Linked DNA regions of Cricetulus griseus. The protein of the gene in region 2 purifies or fractionates together with the protein of the main gene of each other region. This does not show direct contact. Links are inferred from orthologs where the notes say so. Each region holds a gene or a part of one and is shown on either strand. Other genes may lie near its edges.

The links. Proteins that work in one complex are often made in the same cells at the same time.
Region 1: the proteins of Dhx38 (region 2) and Ppp4c purify together in Homo sapiens (affinity purification with mass spectrometry; 5 studies listed by BioGRID and IntAct, with this or other methods). This does not show direct contact. The link is inferred for Cricetulus griseus from reciprocal best matches to the Homo sapiens genes DHX38 and PPP4C.
Region 3: the proteins of Dhx38 (region 2) and Ppp4r3a purify together in Homo sapiens (co-immunoprecipitation; 3 studies listed by BioGRID and IntAct, with this or other methods). This does not show direct contact. The link is inferred for Cricetulus griseus from reciprocal best matches to the Homo sapiens genes DHX38 and PPP4R3A.

Annotation. Positions count from the first base shown.
Region 1 is NC_048596.1:73,945,438-73,955,970, reverse strand, and holds Ppp4c (serine/threonine-protein phosphatase 4 catalytic subunit), read right to left. Parts: upstream 6,193-10,533; 5' UTR 6,040-6,192; intron 5,841-6,039; 5' UTR 5,777-5,840; coding exon 5,679-5,776; intron 3,796-5,678; coding exon 3,744-3,795; intron 3,137-3,743; coding exon 3,086-3,136; intron 2,916-3,085; coding exon 2,814-2,915; intron 2,324-2,813; coding exon 2,150-2,323; intron 2,056-2,149; coding exon 1,929-2,055; intron 1,167-1,928; coding exon 977-1,166; intron 891-976; coding exon 761-890; 3' UTR 519-760; downstream 1-518. Other genes in the region: Aldoa (fructose-bisphosphate aldolase A), read right to left, coding at 8,611-8,706, 8,784-8,983, 9,117-9,291, 9,384-9,467, 9,760-9,920, 10,020-10,074. UniProt on the Homo sapiens protein: Protein phosphatase that is involved in many processes such as microtubule organization at centrosomes, maturation of spliceosomal snRNPs, apoptosis, DNA repair, tumor necrosis factor (TNF)-alpha signaling, activation of c-Jun N-terminal kinase MAPK8, regulation of histone acetylation, DNA damage checkpoint signaling, NF-kappa-B activation and cell migration.
Region 2 is NC_048596.1:185,931,211-185,942,028, reverse strand, and holds the start of Dhx38 (pre-mRNA-splicing factor ATP-dependent RNA helicase PRP16), read left to right. Parts: upstream 1-5,711; 5' UTR 5,712-6,016; intron 6,017-8,610; 5' UTR 8,611-8,627; coding exon 8,628-8,950; intron 8,951-9,274; coding exon 9,275-9,462; intron 9,463-9,996; coding exon 9,997-10,101; intron 10,102-10,818. Other genes in the region: Txnl4b (thioredoxin-like protein 4B), read right to left, coding at 1,219-1,370, 3,859-3,990. UniProt on the Homo sapiens protein: Probable ATP-binding RNA helicase. Involved in pre-mRNA splicing as component of the spliceosome.
Region 3 is NC_048598.1:104,672,400-104,683,074, forward strand, and holds the start of Ppp4r3a (serine/threonine-protein phosphatase 4 regulatory subunit 3A), read left to right. Parts: upstream 1-4,483; 5' UTR 4,484-4,513; coding exon 4,514-4,655; intron 4,656-10,675. UniProt on the Homo sapiens protein: Regulatory subunit of serine/threonine-protein phosphatase 4. May regulate the activity of PPP4C at centrosomal microtubule organizing centers.

The DNA of each region.
Region 1 (10,533 bases), about 110 Mb from region 2:
CTCACCTCAGTGTGAATGGAGGGAAGACTTTGCCTGGCCAAATGGGGGCCTCAGCCCCGTGCCCCCACCTCCCAGGGGCCTCATCACTGGTGTAAGCCACACCAGCTTGTTCTCAGGATCAGAGTATTTTTGTTAATAAAACTCAAAAGACATTAGTGCTCAGGAAACGTTGGGCTAATGGTGTTGGCCCTGGGTGGGGCTGGGGAGCCACAGCTTTGAGGGCAGACCCGTTTCCAGATGCTTGCCCTTGTGGCTGTGAAGCAGCCTGCTCTGCGCATGTCCCCCTTCAGGGGGATGGGTAAATCTCTTCACAATGGTTGTTTTAAGAATAAAGGCTGTCCTGGAACCTCACTTTTACCCAGTACTAAGCAAGCCTTTGGGAAAGATCACCAGATGGAGCCTAAAGGCTCCGGGCTAGTGGACAAGCAGGACAGGGCTCCTTGTCTACCTCAGGGCCTAGTCAAACGTAACAGAACACCCTCAAGACTATTTTTCTTCTTTTATTAGAATTTTTTTTCTTTTTTTTCTCAAAATGTTTATCTAAAAACAAAACAAAAGAAAAAAAAGGAAAAAAAATGACTGGAAACTTCAAGGATCAAATGGGAGAAAGGAGAGGAAGCCTGGAGTGGAGGCCCCAACCTCTCCAGAGCAGTCCGCACCCTAGGGCAAGCAAAGCCAGGCAGCCCCTCCACACCCGGCCTCCGACTGGGCAGAGGGCAGTCACAGTGGTCCAAGGGCCAGAGGGGCTGGGGCCTAGGAGTCACAGGAAATAGTCAGCCACCGGCTTCTTGGAGGGGATGCCACGTGTTTCCTGTGGTGCAGCCTCGAAGATGATGAAATCTTTCTGGAGATGCTCATCTAGTTCCAAGATGGCTGCCACATTCCCACAGCTGGATTTAGGAACAGCACAGTTAGCAACAGTTGGCCTAGATCCCTACTCCTACCCCTACCCCGGCTCCTGGTCCTGCCAGCTTACCGGTAGCAGTAATTAGGTGCTGACCACACAGTAAGCACGGTCTCATTGAAGTGCCACTTGTAACCTTCCATCACCAATTGATGGGCGCGACAGATCATGTCAATGTCATTGGCTGCATTGAACTGGGCCACCACATCACTGCCAAACAAGTAGCCTGCCCCACGGGGGCTCACTCCCCAGCCTGTTGTGTCTGAGACAAGACAAGGACAATGTGTGGGGTCCTCTGGTTGACTACTATACCACAGAATTAGAAGCCTGTGCCTCTTCCCCTCATCAACCAGAGGCTTGTTCTAGGGAACCCTGGAAGATAGGATAGTAAATACTGGAGCAGAGGCACTCCGAGGAGAAAGATGGCTTCATGGCTGGGACCTACCTCCTCATCACAGTGGCCATAACATACAATGTGCTGTTCAAGCAGCACTCAAGTGATAGGAAGTGCTCACACCCAGAGCACCAGCCATGACCAACCACTTTCCTGGCAGTAAGGTCACCTTATGCCACATGACGCAGACTGCAGTAACAGTGGTGGAATTAGAGAGTATGCTTAGGACTGGTACTCAGAAAGCCAGGCTTTAAACCTCAGTTCCGCCCCTAACTAGAGGGGAACCACACAAAATTAGGAACCGTCAGAGGTCTTCGTTCTAAGGGAATGGGTCTCACCTCCAAAGAAGCTACTGTCAAGGTCTATGACCTCTTCCCCCCAGGGAGCCAAGGGTTTCATCCTGAACAGACCCTCTAAGCCATGAAACTCATGAGCCAACCCACAGTAGGCCTCAGTGCACCACCATTCATGCTTTCTGCTCCTTGAGGAGGATCCAGTCACACAAGGAGAAGGCAGAAGCCAGTACAGGCCAAACTTGCCCTCCTCTTCCCTGCCTGACTTCCCTTCATACACTTGCTTAATCCAGTCTTCACAAGACACACGGAGAGCCAGCTCAGGTATTGCCCTCACCTTCAGGGTCAGACCACAAGAGGTCACACATGGGTCCATCATGGGGTACCTCTTGCTTTCGGTCAATTGTCCGGATCTGGTCCAGGGTCTGGATGGAAGGGGAGAGGCCCCCATGCACACAGAAGATCTAGAAGGGAGAATGATACCAGAGAGAAGGAACTAAAAGCCCAGAGACCCAGCACAGCCTCCCCCTCCCCCCAGGAGATCCAGGGCCAACCTACCTTGCCATCAATGATGGCAGACAGGCTGAGGTAGTCAAAGATCTCAGTGCAGTAGCGCCATACAGTCACTGAACCATATTTGCGCAAGCATTCATCATAGAAGCCATAGACCTGGGTGATCTGGCGGCTCTCATGATTGCCCCGGATCAAAGTGATGCGGTCAGGATATCGAACCTAGGGGTAGCACCAAGCAAGAACTGGTTCTAGTCTCTACCTCCCACTTAACCATCCCAAGTCTCCAAGACATCCATTAGCCTCACTCAGTCCTCTGCCTGGCCCAGACTCCCGCAGTCTCTTACATAAATCATGGTGTCCCTGCCTCACAAGCTCCTGAGAGCCTTTTCCAGAAGCTACTGCCAGACTCTGGCTCTTGTCCTTAGCACCCCACACTCACCCCATGTGGCCCTTCACTATGACTTCTCCCAGTTCACTTAACTCCTGCTGCTCCCTGAACACACAGCCTCTGCCTGCTTTCCAAAACTCACATCACCAGCCTCTTCTGTAAGGGCTCAGGAGATGGCCCCACTCATGGCAGCAGTCCTGACTAGCCCCGCTAAGCACACAGTCCACAGCCACAGCAAAGTTCCAAGGTAGGTGACAGGAAAGGTGATGAGGGCAGCAAGTAGTGGCCAAAGCTCAGGCTCCAGGGGCCAAGAGTCCTCACCTTAAGAGCCAGCAGGAGGAGGAAGGTTTCAACACTGTAGAAACCACGGTCCACAAAGTCTCCCATGAAGAGGTAGTTGGTCTCAGGGACATCGCCACCTACCTGGGAGGAGGGATACGACTCTGCTTGGCCCCAAACTATCCTCTCTGGCTACAGCAACCAGAGTCTAGCTGAGCCCCTTCTCTCACCCACAGACCATGCAGCCTAAGACCTATCAATGATCATGGCTTTCTGTCACCCTAGGTTCAAAGTCCCAGTATCCCCCCACTCACTCTGAAAAGCTCCTTGAGGTCATAGAATTGTCCATGAATGTCACCACATACCTGGAAAGAAAGAATGTGGGTTGAAAGAGTGGACAAAGGCACAGTCCCTCTATTCCCAGACACCATCCTTCAAAACACATGTTACTTTCCAGGCCAGCCAGGGTGACACCACCCCATCTCAGGACCCAAATTCCCTCTCTAACCCAAGTGAGCCTGTTCTGGTGTCATCTATCACACCAAAAGCCAACTGCTATGGTGCAGAAGAGTCTTTGCAGGCAGACTTGCAGCTTCAGGAAGACTGGCTTCATCCATTTGCCTCTATGTGCTCAGCACAGTTACTAACAGGGCTATTGATCCACAAACTTCTTCTGCCTTGGCTGCGAGCGTCACCAGGACAAACCAAAATTCCTACAGCATCTTTTATTTTCTTGTGGCACATAGAACACAACTCAAGACCTCATATATACTGGGGAAACATTCCATCACTAAATTACAAGATCTGTGCCACTATCTAATTCTTGCATCAGGGCTCACCAGATGATTGAGAAGCAAGATACCTGGGGTGTTCTAGCCTCTCATTAACTTAGAGGTGGGGGGCTGTTACACCACTTAGGATTTCCATGTGTCTTAAAAGACCAAGTCAGGGTCCAAGAGACAGAGTACTCACTGTGACTGGCGAGTCCACCCTCTGCACGTTGCTCTCTTCTACCAAGATCTCTCTGGAGACAGGAGAAGACCAGGGTCACCACAGCCAGGCCAGCCCAGCCCAATTCCTGACCTTTTTTGGAGGGAGGGAGGACATGAGGTAGTCCTTGAACCTCCAGGGGACAGAAGGAAGTATGCACTTCCCCATGAATCTGGTCAGAAAGCACTGACCATGGCCCTCTACCACTCAATACCTGCTCATGGCTTCCTGCTGCCAACTGGACAAAGTCCAATTTCTCACTTCCACCCCAACTCCTATTCAAGCCCTTCCAAGCAGGCTGGGGCATATCCAGCCTTGATTCACCCTGTGGTTCCTTCTCAAAAGTACAGCACACACTCTGGGAGGGTTGTCCTTTTCTCTTAGAGCACTGACTGTCCCTAGGCTGAGTTCTGACCTCACTCCCTACCAATCGGATACACTTTTTCAAAGGGTTGTGCTGCTCCTTCCTTGTAAACAATAAATCTTATTTATTTTTGGAGACGGGATCTCATTCTGTATCCCTGGCTAGAATGGAACTTGATGTTTAGGCCGAGCTAGTCTCAAGCTCAAGAGATCTGCCTGTCTCTTCCTCCTGTGTGCTGGAATTAAAGGACTGTACAGCACACCATGAACACACAGCTTATGGAATTGGCTCTAGTTCTTGTAGTGTGACTACTTCTCAAAATCCCTTTGGTAGTTCCTGATGTCCAATCTCAGCAGTCCTCCATTTCTAAACCCAAGCTTGGCAAGTGTAGCATAAACACTGCAGCTCACACACAGGCCAACGCAGCACGGAAGGTTTGTTAGGGCTGGTGCCATGGGGCAGCCAGCACTGGGGCAGGCATATTCCGAGATTCCCAGCGCACACTGATTGCTTTGAGTTCAAGACCAGCCTAGTTCAAGGCCAGCTAGGGCTACATGGGAGGAAACACAGACACACAGATACCCTCGATCGCACACTCGCACACCTCTCCCTCCTGCCTCGAAGGATTGGAGGGGAAGGGTAAGAACTATGATACTGTTCTATTAAACAGGGTAGAAGCCACACTGAGACAGTTCCCAGAAAAGGCAGGTAACAAGCCTTAACTGTTGCCTACATATTTCCCTTTTACTTCTACCCTGCTTGAAGGTTCCTTGTCCCTGTGTTTCCTCAGCTAGAGTTTATCTTTCAAGGACTACCCTCTTTTAGAAGCCCAAGAGCGTCAATCCACAAATACACCATTAGTGTGCCCTTCCCACCATAAATATTACCACTTCATGACTTACCCAAACACCATGCTTCAAGCCGAGATTCACTGAATGAATATTCACAACCATTTTACTGAACATCCTCACTCAGTAAACCAAGCTGGTGTGGAAGGAACTCATTATGTTCTACTCTAGTTTACTGTGTTTTCCTTAGGATCCCAACGGAACATGAGAGTGACCCAACTACTTCTTGAATCACAACTTAAAGGATCAGCACTCAGAGAACCAGCTTCAGATCCCATTCCTCCTTGCTGGCAATTCTGAACCATTATAGCCCTTGCTTGTTAAAGTGAGCACAAAACCACCTAATCTTTAAGGACTGATAGACTTTTACAAACCACGAGGTTTCTTGTTTGTTTGTTTTCTTGAACCTGCTTATTCTTCAAGGTCGGTCCCAGAACTCAAGCTCTCCAAGAAACTTTCTCTTTCGCCCCAGTAGAGCAGGCCGGGTTTCCTAACTTTCCTAAGAACTTTTTGCCACTCACTCTGACTCCACTAGAAACGTATCTACAGCCGACCCGTGGTTCCTGGGGAGAAGTGGCCCTCGGGACCGCTCCTCTCCGGGAATGCTTCCGGGATGGGACAAGCCCTAAGTTCTCAGCTGAGTGTGCCCAGCCGGAAACCCGTGGGCGACGGGCCGGCCTCTCTCCTGCGGACCTGCGGGCTCACCTGGCCTTCGCGCAGAGGGCCTTGACTTCGCTCTCTTTGATGAGCTCGCAGCGCCGCAGTTGCTCGATCTGCCGGTCCAGGTCGCTGATTTCCGCCATGGCCCACCCCCCGGCGCGGGTCAGAGTCGGGGCCGCCGCCCCCTCCGGACCGCACAGGGGTCTCCTGGGAAAGGCGAAGGCGAGCCCGCCAATCAGAGGGTCCGTGCGGGAGGGGGGACTCGATTCTAGGACCGCCCCCCCCTCCCCTCACGGCGGTCCAGGACCCTCGGCGTCCCGATGCCCTGGCCGCACCCCGCCAACTCCCGTCGAACCCCGCGGGCCCGCGCTAAGGACGGTGGCCTAGAGGGGCCTCGGACAATTACCGCCGCTAGGACTCCGGCTGGGTCTCTCCGACTCCCCACTTCCCTCCGCTTTGGGCCTCCGCCACCGTCGCTTCTACTTCCGGCCTCGCCGCGGAAGCAAAGGGAGGCCAGATCGGTCGCGCGCCGGAAGTGACATATACCGATCACGCCCCTCTCGCGGCGCACGGGAGGAACTAAAGAGTCGGAAGTGGGCGGGCGACCGGGTCTGGTAGGCAAGCATCTCTGCGTCAGTTATGTACGCCAAATGACGTGAGCTCTGGTAAGCTTGTCATCTCACATTGCACTTTCTCTTGCTGACTTTCTGTCCTGCTCCTACTACAGATCTGAGAAGTGAACTGCTCAGTTCATCGTTGCTTTCCCAGTGTTTAGAATAAGGCTAAGCATTGCAGACATGTATAGTCCAAAATGAATGGGCCAACCCTAGCCAAGTATCTTGCCATGGGCCTTTGCCATGGGAACTCAGAACCTGGGCCAGGTATGTGGCACATTTATTTGTAATCCCAGCATTCAGGGGGCTGAGGCTGGACCGAGGATTTGAGGGTCTCATAGCTACATAGTAACCGCTCGGAAAAACAAAACCAAAACCCACCAAAATAGCATATTTGACACCAAGGACTGCCTGTCACCAAGCCTAACTGACTTAAATTGGATCTCCAAGACCCACAGGGGGTCTAATTGGAAAAAAAAAAAAAAAAGTACCTACTCTCCCCACATCAAGCTTGTTTCTAAGATTCCCTAATTCCAGAATAGTCTATTATCTATTTCTTGACAGGGTCGCATTGTAACTCAGGATGGCCCAAAATTTGCAGTTGACCTTAACACACAGCAAATCTCATCTGGGCCTCCCAAGTGCTATGATTACAGGTGTTACACAATCACACCCAACATTACTTCCTATTGTCTGATCATACTCCTTCAGGGTGTTGGTGGCTCAGGTTAAATTGCTAAATTGAAAAGCTAAAAATTTGGTGTTTGAACCAAGGATCAAATGTGAACCCAGGAAAAGTGGTTCTCATCTTTCATTTACTTTCTGAAACTCAGAGCAATACAAAAAAGACCTAACACTCTCCAAATTCACATTGAAAGTCTTCTGATTCCTTAATCTTTTGATGGAGTAGCCTGATTTTTAATCTTCCTAATTTACACTTTTGAACATCATACTCCCCTTTGGAATGTCTTTTACCATCCCTCAATTTTGAACATGTTTTTATTTATGTGTTTTCTAGAAGCCAAGGGATGGTGGCCCACACCTTATCCTGGCAGAGGCAAGTGGATCTCTTGAGTTTGAGGCCACCCTGGTCTATAGACAGCCAGAGCTACATAGAGAAACCCTGGGGGGGGAGGGATAGGAGAGAGATCCCAAACAGAAAGATTGTTTCCCAGAATTAAATTAGAACCAGATGGATGACAGGCAAGTGTTCAACCACTGGGCTATAGGCCATACATAGAAAGATGTGGACAGCAGACTTTTGATACTCCAAAGACTATTCTGTGCATAGAAAAGTGTGAAAAGGAAAAATATTTTGAAAGGGAAATAGAACAGAAAAGATTCAGACCAGGAAGGTTACAGAAACCACAGAAAACTAAATGGTTAAGACTAAAACAAGTCCCCGTTTATACCTATAATCTTCAACAACTTTAAATTACTAGAGGTATGATGGGGCTGAACACTTTTGAGTACCTTTTGCTCTTCCAGGAGGCCCATGTTCAATTCCTAGCACCGACATGGTGGCTCTCAACCATAACTCCAGTTCCAAGGGATCTGATACCCTTTTCTGGGATCCAAGGACATCAGGCACACATTGTACGCAAACATTCAGGCAACACTCAACATTGGGTAGTCCATAGTTTGGTGGGGGGGGGGGGGCCTTGTTCTGCTCTGTCCTTAACCCGAAACCTGAATTCTGCAGTTGTGTACCTGAGTTCTGTGTGTACCTATATCTGCGTGGGAGAAGATTGAGTCTTCAAAGGCTCCTAAAAAGCCATTGGTAATTCCATTTCCTGTTGCAATGGGAAAATAGCTACGTTTATTAAATGCTTTGTTCCCACCAAGAAAGTTTCATCTTGGGCAAGATAACAAAGCCTAAATTAGGAATGAGAGAGAGGGGTGTCGCTCAGTGGCAGAGTCCTTGCCTAGCATTCACAAAACCCAGGCTTGGCTCCCAGCCAAATAGGCTCAGTGCCCTATGCCTATAACTCCAGCAGATCACTCCCTTTCAATTAGATGTGGTTAGAGCATTTCACAATACTCAGCCTTCCTCAAAAGTATACAGATCAACAAAGCCTTATTGCATCCTTTTAACTACCCAGAAAGGAAGAACCCAAAATAAGGCTCTCTCCTCAGGCCTCCCGTATCCCCTATAAGACATGGACAACAGACTCCCCCCTTAAATAGCTGTTTATTGGCAGTGGGCTGGATGGGATGGCAGAATTAGCATTCAGAGACAACACCACACACCAGTCACGAGGGCAAGAGTGATGGGAAAGAGCCTGAAGGCCCCCTCTTGAACACAAGTGGGTAGGCAGGGGCCTGGAGTGTTGATGGGGCAGCCAGCCTTAGATCACCTCTGGTTAGTAGGCATGATTAGAGATGAAGAGAGATTCACTGGCTGCAGCTCCAGACTGACCACTTGGGGTATACTTTCCTTGACAAGCGAGGCTGTTGGCCTAAAAGGGAAGAGAGAAATCAGGTGAGAGCCAAGTCCCCTCCACTTGCTCACACCCCCCCTTTCATGATGCTTTACCAGGGCTCGCTTGATGTACTCCTCCTGGGCAGCCTTCAGATTCTCCTTCTTCCCACCCCAGGCCTTCAGAGCAGAGGCCTGCAGGGCTCGGCCATAAGAGAAAGTCAAGGCCCATGGCTTCAGCAGTGGGCACTTGTTGATAGCATTGAGGTTGATGGATGCCTCTTCCTCACTCTGCCCTCCAGACAGGAAAGTGACCCCTAGAGAACAAGGGCAGAAGGAAAGAGGTGGCCTTCGTTAAGAGATAGATGCAGGGAGTAGCCGCCAAAAGCTACCCGGAGAGGCCAAAGTGATGGTGTATCCACTCCAGCAAGCCAAGGGAGTGGGCCTCACCAGTAACAGCAGGGGGCACTGTGCGACGAAGTGCTGTGACAGTTGCCATGGCAATCTCCTCATTGGAAAATTTCTGGGTACAGGCATGGCCTGGGGTGACCATGTTGGGCTTCAACAGTGTGCCTTCCAGATAGACATGGTGGTCACTCAGAGCCTTGTAGACAGCAGCCAGTACCTGGAACAGGGCAAGGTGAGATGAAGGACAAGGACCACCTGAGTGGAACCCTGCCCACCACATTACCCTGGCTAGAAAGACAGGCAACCTACCTTCTCAGTTACATACTGACAGCGCTTTAAGTCATGGTCCCCATCAGGGAGGATTTCGGGCTCCACAATGGGTACAATGCCATTCTGTGGGGAGGTAAAGGGTAGTGTGAGGACTCCTGACTGGGAACCCCACCTACAGCTCTCCACCATCATTAGCCAAGATCTTATCTTGAGGATAGTGAATCAAGGCTTCAAAGGCCTCAGCAGATTACAGGGGACAAACAATTCCCCCTTCATGCCAATTCCCATCACTGCTTTGCAGAGTGGCCTCCACCAGCAAGCCTGATGCTTGGTAGGTATCTATTAACAGTTGCTCTGGAGGAGGTAGATATCCTGGCAGATGGACAGAAAGCTAGCCCATGTAGTTCAGTCCCACCTGCTGGCAGATGCTGGCATAACGGGCCAGAACATTGGCATTTTCCATGATGGCAAGGGCTGAGGGAGTATGTTCCCCAATCTTTAGCACACAACGCCACTTGGCAAAGTCAGCTCCATCCTTCTTGTACTGGGCACATCGTTCAGACAGCCCATCCAGTCCTGAAGAGGGACAGAGTAAAGAGGGGCAGGTTTGAGATTCTCCTCATGCTAGAGCTCTGCTGAGCTCGTGGGGAAGGGAAGGAGGCAAACCATTCTCACCTTGAGTGGTGGTCTCACCATTGGTTCCTGCCAGAGGCACCACGCCTTTATCTACCTGGCAGGGTACAGGGCAACAATTTAGTTCTACCACCCTTTCCTCTACCCAGGTCAACTTCAACCCTCACTGCAGCCTCTCATATTTTACTGAGTCCCATGAGGAAAGATACACACAGTATTTGAAAGGAATATTAATTAGAGGAACTGGCACTACCTCTCACTAAGCAAACCATTTCACTCTTTTTTTTTGTTTGTTTGGGGGGAGGGGTGGTTTCAAGACAGGGTTTCTGTGTCTCTGGAGGCTGTCCTGGAACTAGCTCTTGTAGACCAGGCTGGTCTCGAATTCACAGATGTCTGCCTGCCTCAACTTCCCAAGTGCTGGGATTAAAGGTGTGCACCACCACTGCCCCCCATTTCACTGCTTTGGACTAATTTATCAGCTGTAAATGAGGAAACACCTTACAATCATAGGGGGTTGTGAGTCCAGCAATTGAGCACTTGCCTAGCATGCACAGTG
Region 2 (10,818 bases):
CCCACATCATTACCCTGTAGAGGTAGAGGTCTCTGAGTACTAGAGTGGATAGGGTTGTCTCTTTAAAAGCCCACTAGTTCATCACAGTTTCTCAAGTTCTCCCCACTGACACTTCTGAGTTGTGGGTATTAATATAATATAACCTACAAATTATTTTAAACATTAGGTATATTGCTTGTAGAAACTTTTTTTTGTCATTTTTTTTATTTGAATTAGAAACAAGATTGTTTTACCTGTCAATCCCAGTTCCCACTCCTTCCCTGCTTGTAGAAACTTTTAAAAAAGAAACAAAGTCAGCTATGAGGCCAGAAGCCATCTTTTGATGTATATCCTTTCAGGTCGGTGTGGGGGTGTGTTTCCTGTTTATTTTGTTAAGATAAAAATCATGTCACAAACAAGTTAATGATGTGGTTTTGCAAGTAATATTTGCCCCATATGTAAAATATGCATCTACAATGTACTATTAAACTCCTGGAAATGTAATTATTGGATTAAAAGACGAAGCACTTAAAAGGTGTTTGATGCTGTGTCCTGGATTCCAAGTAAGAAGGTTGTACTAAACTAATATAGTAACTGAATCCTAGGATAAGCAACTCCAAGCTCACCTCTACCAGGTAATGAGAAAGCAGACACACCTCTTCAGAGTAAGGGATGACCACAATCTTGGATATAGCCAATAGTACTCATACAGGGGTGTGAACAGGATAGGTGGAGGGCATTACAGAAGATTCCATGTGACTTATTTTGACAAACCTTGAAGAATGACTTCAAAATTCTCTGAGTGGCAGAAAACACTTGCAAGAGAGAAGCGTGTCTCCCTGGCATGAATGCTTCTTTTGCAAATGCCAACTACCAGCTCCCAAAGCTTAGAAACCAGGGATTTTCTTCCAGCAGAGTTTTTTTTTTTTTTTTTTTTTTTTTTTTTTTTTTTTTTTTTTTTTGGTAAAATTATTCTATACTCAGCTAATATGGCTCTTCTATATTTTCTATAACTAAGGATGGTTAGTCAGTACTTCAAAGCTATACTGCTTTTTCATATTTAAGCAAGAAATCACAATTTTCCAATCACACCTAAAACACTCTCACTTTGCACTAAAGTTTCCCATAAAGAGACAACACTCACTCACTTGGCCAGACTCAGGGAGCCAATAGAAAAGTAAGTGAGCTTCTGAACCTGCCCAGATAAAACCAACTTCCCAGACTGGAGAGTTAGCTTACCCATAATCCACTTTCATGTGCTGTCCATTGAAGAAAAATACAGTAGATGGAATATAACTGATGTCAAAGTACTGCGTATAAACTGGAGTGTGGTCCACATCTACCAGGTAGATAGCAGCCATTTTACTTAAGTCAGCAGAGGTCTTTGAGAGCTGTGAATGACAAGATGGATGGAGGTTACACTATACTATTCCAGGTGCATAATGCCTCTTTTGTGAAATGTACTAGAATATTGTATGTGACACTTACTATAACATATTTTGGGGGAAGAAAAATTTTGTTCAAGAAATACTTGAAGCAAGAATCAAGCCCATTTGAATTCCTCATAAGACACCATCCTGGATCTTGCTATGTAGACTAGGCTGGCCCTGAGTTCACAGAGGTCCATCTGCCTCTGCCTCCGAAGTACTGGCATTAAAGTATACACTGCTGTGCCCAGATAAACATACTATTGCTGTTCAGAGGGTGGATCCTTGTTGACAGGGTCAGGAGAAGGCAGTGTGGTGGTTTGAATGAGAATGGCCCTGATGGGCTCATATATTTGGATACTTGTATCCCCAGTTGGTAGCAAGTGTTTGAGAAGGATTAGGTGATGTGGCCTTGTTGGAGGAGGTTTGTCACTGTGGACAGGCTTTGAGTTTTCAAAAGCCCATACCGTTCCCAGTTAGCTTTCTTGTCTTTTGCTTGTGTCAAGATGTGAGCCCTCAGCTACTTTTCCAGCCCATATCTGCCTGCCTGCTGCCAAGCTCCCTGCCATGATGGTCATGGATCCAACCCTCTAAAACTATGAGCCCCAAATAAACTCTTTCTTATATGACTTGTCTTGGTTATGGTGTTTTATCACAGCAATAGAGAAGTAACTAAGACACACCAGGGAAGAGCCCTTACTTGCTGAGCCGTCATCCACATGGGCTCATGCTTGATTACTTTCCAGAAAGGAATCAATACTCACGTAGGGTGAGCTGAGCATGAGGTCTAGTTTCAATGCTCGGAACTTCAAAACAAAACTACAGATCCTGACACACCCACCTGCAACAACTCAGGAACATTCACATAGAGCTGACTCTCCTCAGGCTCTGTCCTCTTAGGAATAAAAGTTAGAGAAGTGCCTGATGCCACCTCCCACAGCTAACTATCTTCAGTGCTTTATACCTGCTAACCCACTTAACAGTTAGTGTATGAGCTGTGCCCATTTTACAGATGACAAAGCTGAGGCAAAAGAGTTAGTTCCAGGACACATAGCTCCTAAGCAGCAGGGGTGGGATTTGAACTTTGGAGGCTTAGTTTCAGAATCAATTAATCTGTATATATCTATATATCTAATTGTTTTGTTGGCATTGGGAGTTGAATTCAGGGCCTTATACATAAGTGGCAGCTGTTCTACCACTGAGCTACACTTCCAGCCTAGAATCTATACTCTCTCTCATAGCTATTTCTGATCATCTTCTTCCAGGTTATGATATCATTCTTACTTATTGACTGGTGTGTGTGTGTGTGTGTGTGTGTGTGTATGTATGCATGATGCATGTGTGAGTATGGGTATACATGGAGGTCAGAGGACAACTTTCAGGATACAGTTTTCTTCTTCACTGTGGGTTGTGGAGACTGAACTCAGGTTGGCAGTCTTGTGCAGCAAGCACTTTCCCTGCTGAGTCACCTCACCAGCTCTGTACATTCACTTTAATGACACAATGCTATTCTGACATTTGGTCCCCAGTTGATGGGTGGGAAAAGGTGCCAGTCCTTGGTTCAATCTCCACGGTAAATAAGAACAAGAAAAAAAAATACAGTAACTCTGTCTCCTAATTTCCCTTGTTACTAATTTGAGTGTGAAGACATACTGTGAAACTTGATCTCTCCACCAGGCACATTCAAGGAGCAGCAAACAAGTAGAGACTTGGCCACCAGGGAAACAGTTCAGAGCCCGCTTTGCATCTTCTGCACCCTGGAGGGTGACTGTTGTTGTGACTGATGAAAGCGCAATGTTCAGACACCTAGGGCTGGCATTTCTTGCTCTTCCACTGCCTGAATTTTCAATTAAAGCTGCTCATTCAAAAATTCACTTACCTGCTGGAGAGATGGCTCAGTGGTTAAGAGTGCTGGATGCTTTCCCAGAGGTCCTGAGTTCAATTCCCAGCAACCACATGATGGCTCACAACCATCTGTAATGAGACCTGGTGCCCTCTTCTAGTCTGCAGGCATACATGCAGGCAGAACACTGTATACATAATAAATAAATAAATAAATCTTTTTTTTTTTTTTTTTTTTTTTTTTGCTTTGTTTTTCGAGACAGGGTTTTTCTGTGTGGCTTTGGAGCCTATCCTGGCACTCGCTCTGGAGACCAAGCTAGCCTCAAACTCACAGAGATCTGCCTGCCTCTGCATCCCGAGTGGCTAGGATTAAAGGTGTGCGCCACCAACGCCCAGCAATAAATAAATCTTAAAAAAATTCACTTATGGCCTAATTCACTTGTGGACAGGCAATGGTGGCACACGCCTTTAATCCCAGCACTCGAGAGGCAGAGACAGGCCAGCCTGGTCTACAGAACGAGTTCCAGGACAGCCAAAGCTACATAGAGAAACCCTGTCTTGAAAAACAAAACATAACAAAAACAAACAAACAAACAAAAAATTCACTCACTATATCATCCAGCTGTAGACAGACAGGGTCCTCATCCCTCCCAAACCTGAGAACCAATACTTTCTCTGCAGTACTTTTGATCGCCTGGTCCACTTCTTTTTTGCTCGTCAGTTTCGGCAAGAGGAAACTCATCTTGAAGAAAATTTCAGTGTTAGTGTGCACGACCAGTTCTACAATGTTTACAGGCTGTTTAGATGAAGTTCATGAGTCCTAATGTAAAGAACAAAACAACACCATTTAGCATCAGCCATGTAACAGGCAATTTAAAAACAAACCTTTCAGGAAAAGTATCTGTGAACAGGCCCCACCCGTGGCTTGCCATTCTTGGGCCCAGCTTCCAGAACTTCATGTGCCATCCTGAATCATCCACCAGGTAACTGCTTTCAGTAATTTCTCTTAGAAATACATGAAAAATTATGTACCATACCAGAAGAACACACACATGCTTCTGTATTTCCACCCCCCTTTTACACAAGAGATAGAATGTATTATAAGTCCAGCAAGTAAGAGATGACATCCTCAAATGTGGGGACTGGATATTTAGTTAGAACAGAACAGGAAGACAAGGCAAAGCCTGTAACTTCAAAGCGCTGATCCCACTCAATAGTCTGTGGAGCTGTGCACAACTGAGTAGGAAGGTAGCTGCACAAAGACAGGTTGGCCTGCCACTAAAGGATACTGCTATCCCCACCCTCAATATCACTGCCTGACTCCAAATGGAACCAGAATTTATGGGAAGTGCTGAGGCAGACAAACTTGCTGATCTCAGCATTCTAGGAGGACGAGCAGTTGGGAATAGCAGAGGCTCAGTACATAGCTCACCCATCTCTCTGCACTTTGCATTGTTTTAAATCTAACATTTAATGAGATTCCCATAGCCCTACACAGAAAACGTCCAGATTTTTATCACGGTAGCATACCATTTCATATGTGGACCACACTTTAGTGGTCCTTCATTGATGGACGTTTGTATATTCTCGTGACCTGGCTTAAGGCGTCTTCCTAGGTGCACTTTATCACATGGCAAACAGATCAGTTATGAGTGTGTGGAGCCAGGCGCTGTGGCACACACCTTTGATCCCAATACTTGGAAGGCAGAGGCAGGCAGATCTCTGTGAGTTTGAGACCAGCCTGGTCTATACAGTAGGCTCCAGGACAGCCTGGGCTACATAGAAAAACTCTTTCTTGAAAAACAACAACAACGAAAGTGTGTGGAAATCACAATTAAATAAATATTCCAAGATATCATCAAAGGACATACTTGAACATGGACAAGTGATTATTATTTCCACTAAGGGTCTCGTTTAGTAGCTCAGGCTGGCTTTGAGTTTGTGGCAATCTTCCTGTCTCTGCCTCACAATTGCTGGGATTACAGGAGCGTGCCACCAAGCCAGGTAGATAACTTATTTACTCAGGGCGGATATGTCTACTTTCCAAAACGTTCCGCACCTGTGTTTTACAAGATGCGGGCGGTTGGGTTACTCCTGGTCCACAGGTGCCAGGGAGGACACAAACCACCTGTCAGCAGTCCGGATTCCTTCACCGATAGCCAAGGCACAACTGTCTCCTTCATCGGTCCCAACCCGGGAAAGGACCTTAACCCCAACTAACCTGGGCTGTTGCTTAGAAACCCTTCTTTGGCCTGCAAACCCGAACAAACGGAAGTGAAAATGAAACACGGACGCAGAAAATGAACGTACCATCGCGCGTCCCAGTCAATAGCCCAATAAGCAGACGGCGTTATTATAGTTCTCGCCCATTTGGCACTGCCCCAACAGGAAGTTATGTCATTTCCGCCCTTAGTAAATATGGCTGACCTCGGTCTGTCTTGCCTCTCACGCCCACAGGCCAGAGGCGGGGTATCAGCTATCACTCTAAGCACGATTGGTCGCAAGGAAACCTGGGGCCCAGAGGAAGACACCGTGGCTTTGAAGGCGTGTTCACGTTGTTTCTCTCTGGCGTCCAGGAACCTTGTATTTCTGGGCTACTCTCGATGGTATTTTTGGACGGATAGAGGACCCCGCGCAGGGCATTATGGGACAATGATGGCCGCTTTCAAACAGTGGAATTTACCTCTTTGAGACCCTCAGACCGAGCAGTGTTCGCGCTGGCGTCCCCAGATCAGTGGCAGAAGGTCCCGAGAGTCGTGCTTGGTGAAGTGAGTATCTCTTCCTCTTTCCAGATCCGTCCTTCGGCCGCCATGGTGGCTCCAGGCGGCCGGGGTCGGTTCGCGGCTTAGGTTTTGGGCCCTGGTTTCAGAGTTCCTCTTGTCCTTGTTACCCAACTTTCTCTACTCACTTGAGCGGTCTTGTGTCTATTCAGCCTGCTCCGGACTTTGTCCCCGTTATGGTCACATCCTTGTGTTTGGGAACGGCCCCCTGAGATCGAGGCATCCGCCCTGCGCCCTGGTTTATTTAGGACGGTGCCCTAACCTGTTACCTAGAGAGTCTGGATAGGGCTCCTGCTGCCTTCCTCCTTTCTCACCGAAGTGTCTCCATTAAGTCTGGTGGTTAATCTATAGGTAGAATATTAACCGCAAAGGGCAGGGAGTTTTTGGTTTTTGTTTTTAAAATCGGTATTGTTGAGAACAATTGACTCAAGGACACATGCAGTTGCTGCCCAAGAAGTCCTTTGTGGCTTCTGTGTCACTGATCTTTCTCCATAATCTGGCCCTGGAATTCCTTGTTTGCTATTTTGAGCGGACAATTAAATCCTTCCTTGACCTGTGTTGTGGATAAACTTCTTGTTGTCCAGAGAAATGTTTGAGTTCTTGTTCTCTTTTAATAGGATATATTTATTCATTTGCTTTAAAATTAGACTTTCATTTTGCCATTGCTGGGTTATAGCAGTCAACAAGACAGCCTCTCGCTTGTATGCAAATGACATTTTAGGACATAAGTCATCATTCAGGTAACTGCTGAGAGTCTGTGTACCTCAGTCTCCCCGTCTGGATTTCCTCATGTATATTTACATGTAACTTTCTTTTTCTGCTCCACCTGATGGAATTTCCAAATGAAGCTCTTGTTTGTTCATCTACATCATGTTTGCAGTACTCCTTGGTAGAGCTGTGCATGCCGATTAGAATATGGCAAAAGAAGTGTAGATTCCAGAGGTACAGTTCTTATGCTTTAACGACTTACTGGAATGAGAATAATTGTCTGTGTGTCCAACATAAGTTCATGCTTCTAAGTAGATGGTATCAGTTAAAGACGAGTGTGTTATCAACCAGGAGATCTTGCAGTCTCTTAAACACTTTCCTGAAATACCACTTCCTTAACTTAGCATTTCTCATATGCAAGTTTGGTAAATACAGTTTCTTATTCAAGAGATTTTTGCCAGCTATGGGCAGCTTTTTTTCCCCCCTTTTTGCACAAAACACTACTGATCACAACAAAAGTCACCAAGTGTGTAGAATATGGATGGTAAAATTATGTCCTTACACTTACACTTTGTGGAACCTGTGGCTTCAAGGGGGAGGGGATAGGTGAGTAGAAGAATGTATATAAAATATTAGAAATATTAGTAAGGAAACTAGTCAGTATACAGGGGCATAATAGCAAATGTGTAATAATTACACTGACAAAACATCTATGGTTCATGTACAGTTGTTAGATTCTCACAGTGGTTCTGTGCAGTGTATAGAGAAGTAATAGCTAACCAAGCCTGCTGCTTACTCTCACAGAAGCAGAAAATGCCAAGAGCCTGGGTATCTTTTTTATTTTTATTTTTTAATGTCTGTTACTAAAGAAGAGGGTGTGCTGCTGCAGCTGACATGAAAAAGGCCAGCGTGTTTGGTTGATGTTTGGAGGCAGTAAGCCAATGGGGATCTTAAAGGTGATTATTGTGATTCTTAAGTAGAGAAAGTAGAAGGGTGAAATTACAGGAGAATAAATTAAATAATGGGTAGGGAAAATCTATGAGTGAGGGCCATGGGCATGAATGAATGAATATGTCACTAAATAGTCTAGCAGTTATGAAACTCACTATGTATCTCAGGCTAGCTTCAAATTTGCCATCCTCTGGAGCCTCCTCAGCTTCTCACCTGCTAAGATTACAAGTGGGTGTCACCGTGCGTAGGACCAGAAACTGGATTTTAATTGAGGTTTCTGACTTACATCTAGTTCCCCTTCTAGTCCCTTTTTGTATTCCAGTAAGAAGTCCTTACTGAAGTTTATTCTTGTCTGGATGATACCCTCTTGATCCTACCACTTGCTCTGTGTATATGTGTCTCTGTGTCTTTCATATATGTTGAGGTGGGAACTGGGAAACTTTTTGAGATCGTCACTGATTTGGTGGGAAAGTCTTCGGAAGTAGCAAAGGGGGCTAGAGAGATGGCTCAGTTGGTGAAGTGCCTTCTCACAAGCATGAGGATCCGAGTACAAGGAAAGCTATGAGTAGAGGCACTTGTGTGCTGAAGAGGCAGACACAGGCAGATCCCAGGAGCTTGCTGACACCCTAGCTTGGCTGGATTTACTCCCAGTCCAGTGAGAGACCCTGTCTCAAAAAGTAAGGGAGCAACTGAGAAAACACTTGACATTGACCTCTGGCCTCATGTGCACACAGTGCCTGTGTACCTGCATGAACACACACACACACACACACACACACACACACACACACACCCTCTGATAGCAGAAGATGCTTTGGGCTCAGTGTAGGGATGGGGTAGCCACTTAAATTTACTAGTTATTCTGGGGTGCGGTAGAACTGAGTTTTCTTATGTTCAATTCTAATGATTCCTGTTCCTTCCAGAGAAATAAGAGCCTGTGATGGAGGACACTGGTGAGGATGCCTCCATCCATCGACTGGAAGGCACCGATCTGAACTCTCAGGTTGGTGGTCTTATTTGCAAGACCAAAAGTGCAACCAGTGAGCAGCATGTCTTCAAAGCCCCTGCTCCTCGCCCTTCATTGCTTGGACTGGACTTACTGGCTTCTCTGAAACGGAGGGAGCGAGAAGAGAAAGATGATGGAGAGGACAGGAAAAAGTCCAGAATCTCTTCTTACAAAGACTGGGAGGAGAGTAAGGATGACCAGAAAGATGCCGAGGAGGAGGGTGATGAGCAGGCCGGCCGGAGTGGCCGCAAAGACAGGTAAGGAAAGAGGGTAAACATTGGTGTCAGAAAATAGTAGCCCAGGTTTATCTCAGTTCCTGCTGGACACCTAAGAGCTTTAGGATTTTATTGTTTTTCTATAATACTGGTGGCGGATAGGAATTGGTAGAGATTTGTGGGAAAAATTCAAAGGCATCTAAGAAGTGGATGATGGAGTTTAAATGCCTGGGTTCTTGCCATGTGCAGGCCTTCAGCACTGGGGAGATGCATTGGAGAGGAATATTGCTTGTTGGCATACCCAGAGATAGAGGGAAATGTTTTCTTCCATGGAAGGCCCTGTCCCAGCTGGTCTCCCTGTTTCAGGCATTACCGATCTGCTCGGGTAGAGACTCCATCCCACCCTGGGGGAGTGAGTGAGGAGTTTTGGGAACGCAGTCGGCAGAGAGAGCGGGATCGGAGGGAGCATGGTGTCTATGCCTCATCCAAAGAAGAAAAGGATCGGAAGAAAGAGAAATCCCGGGATCGAGACTATGACCGCAAGAGAGACAGAGGTAAACTGCCTGTCACCAGTTCTGTTGCCCTTCATCATTTGAACCAGCAAGCCATTCTTTCCCTGTTGCAAGAACTTTTACAATAATGCTCATTAATTGCTTGTAGTACAACTGCTTTGCTTGAGTATGTGGTTCTTGTTTTATTGTGAAAACTGAGGATAAAGGAAATGATGGGTAATCTATTTAAGAAAACAGTTTAGAGTAGCATGGGTGATGGAGAAAGGACAGTGTTGTGGAACAAAATGAGACAGTCCAGTACCAGCCTTGATCATTATGTCTGTAGCTGAGGTTGGCTACACCACTAAATTCTTCATGATAGACATGTAACTGTTCACTTATGATTCTTGTTGGAAAGCAGCTGTTGTGTGAGTTTGACCCTTTCTATCCATTGAGAGGATGTGAGTGTGTGAGTTTTAGCCCATGGATGATGGGGTGTACCTGTGTGAGTGGGGAGGTGTGTGCTTTCTGTCCATGCGTGTGCATATGTTTTAGCATGGAGTACATATCTTTAAGCCCCATGTGTGACTCTTATAGATGAGCGGGACAGAAGTAGGCACAGCAGCAGATCAGATCGAGACGGAGGCTCAGAGCGCAGCAGCAGAAGAAATGAGCCAGAGAGTCCTCGACATCGGCCAAAAGGTATTCTGAGCTCTGTGGTGGCAGAATGAGCAGTAGTCAGCTGTGTTGTCAGGCAGTGAGTTGGAAGTCCTGATTATAGTGTGACCCTCTGGAGTTAGGGGGCCTGAGCACGGTGGGTGTGGTCCTGTCCCTTGCTTGGGTGGATGTACTTCCCAAGGGGATAGGTTGTTTGCTGCAAAACAGGTGTTTCAGATGTCAGGAAACTAGAGATGTGGTGGATCAAGAAGGATTTATTGGAAAAGAACTATTTGTTTTAAGATGAAGAGGTTTGCAGAGAGAAATTGATTCAAGCAGTGAAAGCTGAACTGTTAAATTCAGTCTTTTTAAAAATTCTCATCACACACACACAAAAAGAAAAATTCTCATCACTGCCAGGCAGTGGTGGCGCACACCTTTAATCCCAGCACTCGGGAGGGAGAGGCAGGGTGATCTCTGTGAGTTTGAGACCAGCCTGGTCTACAGATCGAGTTCCAGGACAGGCTCCAAAACCACAGAGAAACTCTGTCTTGAAAAACAAAACAAACAAACAAAATTCTCATCACTATCTTATCTATAGTAAATAAGTACAAGGTTATGAAACAGGGAAATAAGTTGCAGCAGTCAGGATATCTCCTCTGGTGAAGGCATTTGTTGCTAAACTTTATGATCTGAGTTTGTTACCAGGACCCATATGGAAGGAAGCCAACTCCCGAGAATTGTCATCTGACCTCTACATTT
Region 3 (10,675 bases), on a different chromosome or scaffold from region 2:
TTGATTGGCAGACACCAGGAAGAGAGAGTGACACTGGCCCTGGCTCAAGCATCTGAAACCTCAAAGCCTACCCTCAGTGACACACTTGCTCAACAAGGCCACACATCCCAGTAGTGCCACTCCCTTTGAATTTATGGGAGCCATTTTCATTTAAACCACCAGAATTGACTCATCACAGTAAATATATGTTTATATGTGGTTTACAGAATGAATGCCAGTTTAAAAACTTGCAGCAGAGCAGTTTTTGAGAAAGGGCCTGAGTCTGTATTAATAAAATAACCAACCAGGCCCAGTTCCAGAAGGTAGCTACTACCGCAACTACAGTTTCAGCTAGGAGGTGAAAGCCAAATCTGGATGTAAGATAGGGGAAAACAGAGGGATCAGGCCCCTGTATGGGCTAACAGGAAGATGGACAGGCAGTCAAGCAGACCAGGTCAACAGCAGGGTACCCAAGCAAGGCCTAAGTTCTGGAGACAGGGAGTTCTCTGCCTATTGGTCCTTGCCAGGCAAACCAAGTATCAGATGATAGCTTTGTGTGGCTCATGCCGTCACAGTATTTGGTATTCTTTGTGGGGTCCGGGTATTACTCCTTTTCCTTAGTCTGGCATGTTCTGTATGTTCTTGGGCTTTGTTTCCCTGATTGCTTTTAAGATTTATTTTTATGTGCATGGGCATTATACCTACACTTACATACCATGCGGTACTTGTGGAGGCCAGATGAAGACATTGAATCTCTAGAACCCGAGTTACACGTTTGGTAGCCATTGTTTGGTTGCTGAGACTCAAACCTGGTTCCTGTGGAAAAGCAGCCAGTACTCTTAATGGTGATCCATCTCTCCAGCCCCCTTTGTGGTGGTTTGAATGAGAATGGTGCCATGGGCTAATATATTTGAATGTTTGATTGCCCAGTTGGTGGAAATGTTTGGGAAGGACTAGGAGGTGTGGCCTTGTTGGAGGAGGTGTGTCACTGGCTGGCTGAGGTTTCAAAAGCCCAGGCCATTCCCAGATAGCTCTCTCTGCCTCATGGTAGTTGTCCCAAAATACAAGCTCTCAGCTACTGCTTCAGCATTGTGCCTATGTCATAGTATTTGTCACAGCCATTGAAAAGTAACAGAAACACCCCAATATTTTAATAGACCCATGTCCTCCTACAGTCTCAATTCATAGGGTAGCTCCCTTTCTACTCCCAGGAATGTAATGTATTGTGGTCTGTGCTGGGTGGATGGTACCTGTCAGATTGTAAGATTTATGGGTTCACTGAGGGGCTGCAGTCATCCTTCTCCCTCAAAATGGAATCAAGAGCTGCTTGTGGAATGGGGTCTCCTTGGGCAAGACACAGCCTAAACACAGCTACAATATGGAGTAACTTAGAGTCCGACATAGTCTGATGTCCACAGAGGCCCTCTCCAGAGTGACTGAAGTTTAGAAGAATTTCACTGTAACAATATTTGCTGTGAAGACTGCCCCCCAACATATAGTTCGTGTGTGTGTGTGTGTGTGTGTGTGTGTGTGTGTGTGTGTGTGTGAGAGAGAGAGATTTCTTTCAAAACAGCAAAGCTTAAAGTCTGGATGTACACAAACTAAGGTAGGGTCTCATTCCTTTCCCCAGATATTTTCTGGGAATTTTATTAGAGGGTCAACCTTATCTATAGTAAATATACCCATGTTCTTGTGATCTAGAGTTTTAGCTTATTAATTATAATCTTGTCAGTTGCCCCTCAGGACCTCATTTAGATTCCGAAGTAACCTTTTCTTTTTTTCTTTCTTTCTTTTTCCTTTGGTTTTCTTTCCAACACAGGTTTTCTCTATGTAGCTTTGTAGACCAGGCTGGCCTCGAACTCAAAGAGATCCGCCTACCTCTGGATTAAAGGCATGCACCACCACCACCTGGCTTCCTCAGTAACCTTTTTAAGATAGTAATTTCAAAACCCACCCAAATCCTGTATTTGACTATGGGGGGGGAGAGATAAGAACAAACAAACAAACAAAAAAACTGTGACTCTACTGTCAAATGTCCCTCTGAGCTCCTCACTTCCTAAATCTTCTCTTACTAAGTCTACATTAAAATACTCTGCTGGGTGCTGGCTATTGTGAAATTCTGAGAAGCACAAATCCTGGTATGGCCTGATTCAAAGTCCCAAAAATGCACTTTGTGGGTGGGAGGAGTGGGAGACCCAGAGTATAGCAATTTAGAATAAAATTGTTTTAGAGGGGAGTGGCTCCAGAAGTCACACATTTGACTATAAATAATGTCCTTTCTCATAGTATTCCAGGAGAGAAATACTGTGACTCTACCTAGGTGTGCTTTCTTCCAGTTTTCTTTCCCCAGCAACCCAGTTTCAGAGAGAACTGAAAGCAACAGTCTCCTCTTTGATGAGTAAAGAATTAAGGCAGATAAGGAACTATTTATTTGGTGTGCAGCCTCTCCTGGTTTATCTCCAAGTCCCTTTAAAACAGAGGTTCTCAACCTGTGACCATGCACAGCAGATACTTACATTACGATTCATAGCAGTAGCAAAATTAGTTAGGAATCGGCAGCAAAATAATTTTATGGTTAGGGGTCACCACAGCATGAGGAACTGTATTAAAGGGTCGCAGCCTTAGGAAGGCTGAGAACTCCTGCTTTAAGATAAGCAGCACACATAGCCAGGCGTTGGTGGCACACGCACATGCCTTTAATCCCAGCACTCCGGAGGCAGAGGCAGGCGGATCTCTGTGAGTTCGAGGCCAGCCTGGTCTACAGAGCGAGTTCCAGGATAGGCTCCATAGCTACACAGAGAAACCCTGTCTCCAAAAATAAAAAAAAAAAAAAAAAAAAAAAGATAAGCAGCACAGCGTTGCGCCACACTGATTGTTAATCTGGTCAGTCTGGTAGTCCATGGGCTTCATCTAGATGCTTGGAACGACTGCATTCCAGTCCTTAGAAACAGCAAACGCTTTGTTTTTTTTTTTGTTGTTGTTGTTGTTTTGTTTTTGTTTTTATTTTTACATGCTTCCCAATTTTTGTTTGCAAACGCTTTCAGACACGGCTTCCGCTTGTCTCTGAAGTTGTGGGTGAGGAAGGTCCCAGCTTCTCACATACGTTGCTTTGGCCAGTCGGAGCAACTCAGTGAGAACCCTGTTTCAAAAACAAAAAGAAATTTATCTTGACCATACAGTACTTCGTTTATCTTTGCAAGCACTTGAAGATGTGGCTTGCTTTGTTTTGTCTAGCACACACACACACACACACACACACACACACACACACACACACACACACACACACACGCAAAGAGCTAAATAAAGGACATCAACTCTGATAACCGGTACCCGTTGTATTGTGAGGTGAGTGCTCAGAATGACCCTCTCCCACGAAACGAACCCCGCGCCCAGTGCGGGGCCCACCACATCCCGCCCACCCCGCAGCCCAAACGAGTGTTTGTTTTGTTTAGTTTTTTTCCCCCAGAAGCTTCTCGATTCCAGGCCAAAGGAGGAGGCCAGACCCGTGCAAAAGCCCTCCCCGAAAGCGGCGGGGGTGGGAGAGGGGGGGAGCACACAAGGACGTGGGCGAGCTACGGGATCAGCGTCCAGAACCCAGGCCGGCTCGCAGGCCGCCAGGCGACTCCACACCCCTTCCCAGCCCAGAACAGGGCTGATGACGAACTCAGAATGCGACGGACGCACACGCAGCCCGCGCTCGCACGACAGTACGTGCAGGGCAGCGCGAGGGAGTCCCGGTCCGACACCGGCGCGGCTCGCGTCCCGCCTCCTCCGCTCCGCCACCCCCGCAGCTCCGGGTCCGCCTCGGTGCGAGGCCTCCGCCGGCGCGAGGCCGCTGGCTCGGGTCCTGTCTCTTTAAGTGGTGGGGCCTGCGGGCCGCCCCTGCCGCTTCTGCCTAGTTGGCCCCGCGCGCCGCCTTTTGAGGGGCGAGTCAAGATGGCGGCGGCTTTGGCTCTGTGAGGAAGACGGAAGAGGCGGTGGGGTAGGGAAGGCCGCTTGGAAGAAGAGCGAGGGGCTCTCGGCTCGCCAGGGACTTGCGGAGTCTCCCGGGCAGCGCTAGCTCGTCGGCTGCGGATGCTTTAAGCGGGAGGAGCGGAGCGGAGGCTCCGGCGGCGGCGGCAGGGCCAGGTACGAGGGAGGAAAACATGGCGGCGGCGGCGGCCTGAGGAGGCGGCGGCGGCGGCGGCGCGGGAAGCGGCTCTGCGGAGGTCATGGCGGAGGCGGGAGCAGGCCTGTGAACCGAGCTGCCCCTTGTTCGGACGGCGGGCCGCTAGGCTGCGCAGCGCTGCGCTTCCCTGTCGGGGCTGCCGGGCGGCCGCGCTCACCCGGCCTGGACAATAGCGCCGAGGAGCGGGAGGCGAGCGAAGGCGGCCCCGGGCTCGGCCCCGGGAGCGGGCCATGCGAGCGGCGGCGCGGCTCCGCGGCGGCCAGCGGCGGCACTGAGGTCCCGGAGCTTCCCGTTTGCGGCCGCCCGCCCGCTTTTCTTGGACACAGTCCCCGGGCCACTCGGGCGGGGCCCCCGGCCGGCACGATGACCGACACCCGGCGGCGGGTGAAGGTCTACACGCTCAACGAGGACCGGCAGTGGGACGACCGAGGCACCGGCCATGTGTCCTCCGGCTACGTGGAGCGGCTGAAGGGCATGTCCCTGCTCGTCAGGGCGGAGAGCGACGGTGAGTGGACGGAGCCCACTGGCTCCCGGGGAGCAGTTGGGAGTACGGTAGTCTGGACGGGTACCCAAGCCCCCTGGATGGGGTGGAGAGTTGTTGGGGTGTTGTTGCCGGAGCCCCGGAATCCCCGCGGTGGGGAGGGTCGGGGCCGAGCGGAGCGCACGGAGCACGTTGCGCCGTGCCGCCTTTAGAGTGCGGAAAGGTCGGGGACCTGGGATCCGGAGCCCGGCGTGGTTTTTGCACTTGCGTGACCCTGAGGGGGGGCTGGGGGGGAAAGGCACTTTACATACCATCTGCCCTTAGTTCACCCCCGTCTGTGAAACAGACGTGAGGCCTTGCCTGGAGCTCATCAAAGTTCATAGCTGTTGCACACTTTGGGGAATGTTCTGGCCTGGTGTTTTGTTTTGTTTTTAATTTTTGAGCATTTTCCACTACATCTTTGGGATCTTAAGGGTCGGCAATGCTGGTCTATATATCTGGCAACTCCACCAGGCAGAGGAAATGCTGCTTTGCTTTGCCTTGCGAGGATACATTTGACTTGTCCGGTGTTGGTTGTTTTTCTCATAAGAAAGAAAGATTGTTGTTGTTTTGTGTTTTTGAGACAGGGTTTTGTTTTTTGTTCTCTGTGTGGCTCTGGCTGTCCTGGAACTCCATCTGTAGACCAGGTTGGCCTCGAACTCAGAGATCCGCCTGCCTCTGCCTCCCCAATGCTGGGATTAAAGTTCGCCACCATGCCTAGCCAAGAAGGGGCAGACTTTGTTTGTAATTCTACTGTGGGAACCTCTGAACCTTTGGAACATTTTATTGCAAGACTTTGATTGCTTAAGTGTATGGTCCTCATTGGGGTCAACTAACAGGTGGGGAGAAGTATTTTTAAACCTTGAATCTGCGTTTCTGCTTTCCCTTCAGGTCTATTGAAACAGCCTTCCGGGCCCGAAGACCAAGTTGTTCAAAATAATGGGTTCACGTATTTTTGTCGTTGTTTTGTTTATGACAGGGTTCTCTGTGTAACCCTGACTGTCCTGGAACTCCCTCTGTAGACCAGGCTGGCCTCAAATTCAGAGATCTGCCTGCCAAGTGCTGGGACTCTAAAGGTGTGTGTGTGTGTGTGTGTGTGTGTGTGCCACAACCACCCGATTCGGTTTCTCACCTTAAATTAATAGTTTCTTCAGGGTTGGCCGTTTTCCTTGGTTACATTCTGTGAATTTCACTTAATGAAAGAAAATATACATGTTGAGCAAAACTTTTCAAATTGTTACTTTAGGGTATAAATCTAGTTACCTTGTTGCATTAATCTGAGGGTCAGTTTAGTGTGTTTGTAGTTGTTTCATATCTGAATTATTACAAACTTACTTCAAAGGTTTTTATTCTTTCAACTATACCCAGAACTCATTCCATGAAAAACAAGATTCTCCTGGTTGTAATTGAAGATTGTAGAAGCATTGATTTGAAATGGAAAATGGTAATTTGGAGTATAGTACCCACAGGTTATCTTTATAAAGATACCCCAGTGGTTGAAAAGTTACTTCTGCAGATATTTTTAATAGTCTCCAACCTGAGGCAGTTCTGGGGGAATTGGAGGGTCAGACTGGGTCTACATAAAGTTCTAGGTCAGCCAGGGTTACATAGTGAGACTTGGTCTAGGGGGGAAAAAAGTTTGATTATAGTAGGTATAATTTTCTTTCTTTTTTTTCTTTCTCTTTTTTTTTTTTGTTTGTTTGTTTGTTTTTCGAGACAGGGTTTCTCTGTGTAGCTTTGGAGCCTATCCTGGCACTCGCTCTGGAGACCAGGCTGGCCTCGAACTCACAGAGATCCTCCTGCCTCTGCCTCCCGTGTGCTGGGATTAAAGGCGTGCACCACCAACGCCCGGCTCAGTAGGTATATTTTTCAGAGTTCTTACTTAGCATTAAAAAATGCAAGTTGAGCCGGGTATTGGTGGTGCACGCCTTTAATCCCAGCACAAGGGAGGCAGAGGCAGGCGGATCTCTGTGAGTTCGAGGCCAGCCTGGTCTCCAGAGCGAGTGCCAGGATAGGCTCCAAAGCTACACAGAGAAACCCTGTGTCGAAAAACAAAAAAAAGTACAAGTTGAATGTGTAAAGACCTCCACCTCTACCTTTTTGTGTATGTTGAAAATGAAAAGTAAATTGGAAATAAAGGTGTGGTGGTGGTGGTGGTGTTTGGTTTGGTTTGGTTTGGTTTGGTTTGGTTTGGTTTTTCGAGACAGGGTTTCCCTGTGTAGCTTTGGAGCCTGTCCTGAACTCGCTCTTGTAGACCAGGCTAGTCTTGAACTCCGAGATCTGCCTGCCTCTGCCTCCTGAGTGCTGGGATTAAAGGCGTGTGCCACCACCACACTAGAAATAAAGCTTTTAAGGTTAAATTAGCTGCTTGTTTTGAGGGTGAGATTACTGGGAATAGCATTCAGGGTCTCAAGCATGCTAGGCAAGTGCTCTACCACTGAACTAACTCCAGCAAACACCCAGTTAGAATTTTCAATTTAATTATATGTAGGCTTAAGCTGATTCCTTGAATTTCTTCACACCAGTGTGCCTTATTTGATTATACGAAGACCTTTTTGTTGTTTTTTTGGGAAACAGTCTCCTGTAGTACCAAAAATCTGGAATTCCAGGTCCTCCTGTCTATCTCTCCAAATTCTGGGATTTATCGGTATACCACCTCAATCCAACTTCTTTGTTTTGTTTTAGAGTCATTCCCTGTAGCTGTTCTCTGTGTCTCCTGCCTCAGATCCTCATGTTGTGATTGCTGGCAGTGAGCTACCACAGTCAACCAGTTTACAAAGACCTTTTGAAAGGATGATCATGAAGACTTAATTCAGTGCTATCTTGGAAAATCTCTTAACTAGGTTTTGTGCCGGGAGGTGGTGGCACACGCCTTTAATCCCAGTACTTGGGAGGCAGAGGCAGGCAGATCTCTGTGAATTCGAGACCATCTTGGTCTATAAGAGCTAGTTCTAGGACAGCCTCCAAAGCCACAGAGAAACCCTGTCTCAAAAAACAAACAAACAAAAACACAAGGTTTTGTAAAAATCTGATGTTTTTATGCTCTTTCATATTTTTATCACTTAGGAAGTAGCCTGTAAGTCTTTTTTTCTCCATTTGGAGATTTGAAGTTCTAATTTATTACAACTGGTAAAATGTTTTATTTTTACCCAAGTAGGAAAAGAGCTAAACAAAATTACTAATCCAAACCTTGTAAATTTGTGTTACAAGGAAAGCTAATTTCAAAGAATGTATTTAATCCGGGTGTGGTACCTTATTCTTAATTCCACCGCTCTGGAAGCAAAGCAGGGGGAGATCTCAGAATTCAGGGCTACATAGTAAAACGTTCCCTAAACAAAAAAGGAAAAAATGGACTTAGAAAAATTGTGGGATACTTATGAAGAAATTTATAGTTCTAATACTAAAGTTTTTTTTCCCCCTTACAGGTAAATTCCAAATAAGATTAGTAATAGAAGTTTATTGAGTGCTTCCTATGTGCCAGGGCCTCTTCAAGCAATTCACTTGTATTTACAAACATAATTCTTAAAACCATTCTCAAATTAGCCATGTTTTATAGATAATTTAGAGTCTGAGATAATAATTATAGGTTGGTTCAGTCTAGGATGGTGGTCTGTATTTTAGTGAGAAATCTAGCCTGCAGCTTAAAGCTCTTATGGCTAATTACGATGAATGTAATCTCTTATGCTGTGGTCTATTTGTGTGCTATTGTATTCTTGGCCTCAAGGATTATTTCAAAGAAAGCAAAATTTGAGTTTTACTCGAATTAGCTACGTAGTGAGGATAATCTTCCATTCCTGATCCTGCCTCTATTTCCTCATGTTGAGGTTAGAGTTATGTTGCATCTTCATGCTTTATGTAGTGCTGGAGATTGAACCCTGGGCTTTCATGAATGCTAGACAAACACCAATTGAGCCTTGCACTCGGCCCTAAGATAGTTTCATTTCACTGATTGATTGAGGTAGGGTCCTACCTACTCTGTAGCCCTGCCTGGTTGCTTAAAGTTATGGTGTCTGCTACCAGTTTGGATCACCCATTATTGTGTGCTTCTCCATTCTGTTACATGTAATTGGGAGTTCTTTTTTTTTAATTTTCATTGTGATGAATAAAGAAAGGGGTTTTTTGTTTGTTTTTACTGGTAGTTGTGAGCCACCTGATGTAGGTGCTAGGAACCAAACTTGGATCATGTAGAGCAGTGGTTCTCAACCTTCTGAATGCTGCGACCCTTTAATATAGTTCATGTTGCGGTGACCATGTCCATAAAGTTATTTTGTTGCTGCTTCATAGCTGTAATTTTGCTACTGTTATGAATTGTAATGTAAATATCTGATAAGCAGAATATCTGCATGTGTTCCCCAAAGATTCATAACCCACAGGTTGGGAACTGCTGATCTGGTGGAAGAAAAGCAAACAATGGACTGGAGAGATGGCTTAGTGGTTAAGAGCACTGGCTGCTCTTTCAGGAGACCTGGGTAAGATTTTCTAGCACCCACATGGCGGGTAGCAACCATTTGTAACTCCAGTTTCAGGGGATCCAGTGCACTCTCTGGCCTCTGGGCACCAGGTATAGGTAAAAGACTCCTACATATAAATTAAGAAAAAAAAAAAAAAGATTTAAGACAACAGGCACTTTTAGCCTGAGCCTTTTCTCTAGCCTTCAGGATATACTTTTTAATGTTAATAGTTTACATTTTTATGCATATGGATGTTTTGCCTTCATGCTTTTCAGTGCTGCCACATGCAAACAGTGTCCTTAGAGGCCAGAGGGGGGCATTGTATCCTCTTGCACTGGTGTTACAAATGATTGATAGAACCGTGTTTGTACTGGTAATCAACCTGGGTCCTCTGGAAGAGCAACCAGTACTCTTTAACCCTTCTGAGTGTTTCAAACCAGAGTCTTTGCTGTATAGTCCAGGCTGGCCTCAAATCTGGGTTCTTTTTCCTCAGTTTCTGTGTACTAGGTTTTAGGCATGAGCCATGCCACCTGGCCATTAACTCATTCTTGGTGGTACGTTCTTTCTGCTAGTGAATACTGAAGCTGTGATGCTAGTGAAGACAGTATTCTGGAAAAGCTGTGTTGTGTTGGGACAGAGTGAAATGAAGGGATGGAGCTATCTGTTAAAAATCTTTGAGTATTTGTTTTGTAACTATCACCAGAACCAAACCCAGCATGCACATCCACCTGAATCTAATTAATTGGCTGATGCAGACGATAGAGCTGTACAAGAACTCAGAAGTTTTCAGCTTACCCCAACCTCCAGTACTGCCCTGTGCATCTTAGGCAGGTTCTCTTCTACTAAGCTACAACATCCCTAGCCCAAGAACTCTGATGCTAACTCAGCCCCTCTTATGACGGGCTATGAGATTCATATAAAGTTATCCAGCTAAGAATGTGTACTAGAAGTTTAGAAGTGATAACAGTTTGCATGGAATGTTGACTAAGCAGTATCATGAACCTTGTGTTTGTCATGTAGAGCTGGGTCACCGTTGTCAAAGCCCCACTTCCTTTTGCAAATGGTCGTCAATTAAAAATCCAAGTTATTAAGCACTTATGTATACTAGATATTGGGGTTAGGCCCTTCACATAAATTTTCAGTGAGTGCCCATAGCATCTTTTTCCTATTCATAAATTTTAATGCTTCGATTCTTCGATAGTTTTTCGGTATTTTCAAACACAGACTTAAAAAGAAATTGGGGGTGGGGTGTTTCTTCTTTTTCTGTTTTCAGTACTAGCTTTTTGAGGTACTGGGAATTGAACTTGGGGTCTTGCACAGCATAGACAAGCACTGTATTCTTTAGCTATACAATAACAGCCTTTTTTGCTTACCTTCCCCCAGCCCAAGTTTTAATTATGTATATGTGTGTGGATCTGTACAAGTGAATTCTAGTGCCAGAGGAATCAAATCCCCTGGAGCTGGAAGTACAGGTAGCTGTATACTGGTAATCGGCTCTAGTCCTGGGGTGGGGGTGGGGGGGCAGTGCATGTTCTTAACTGCAGAGATATCTCT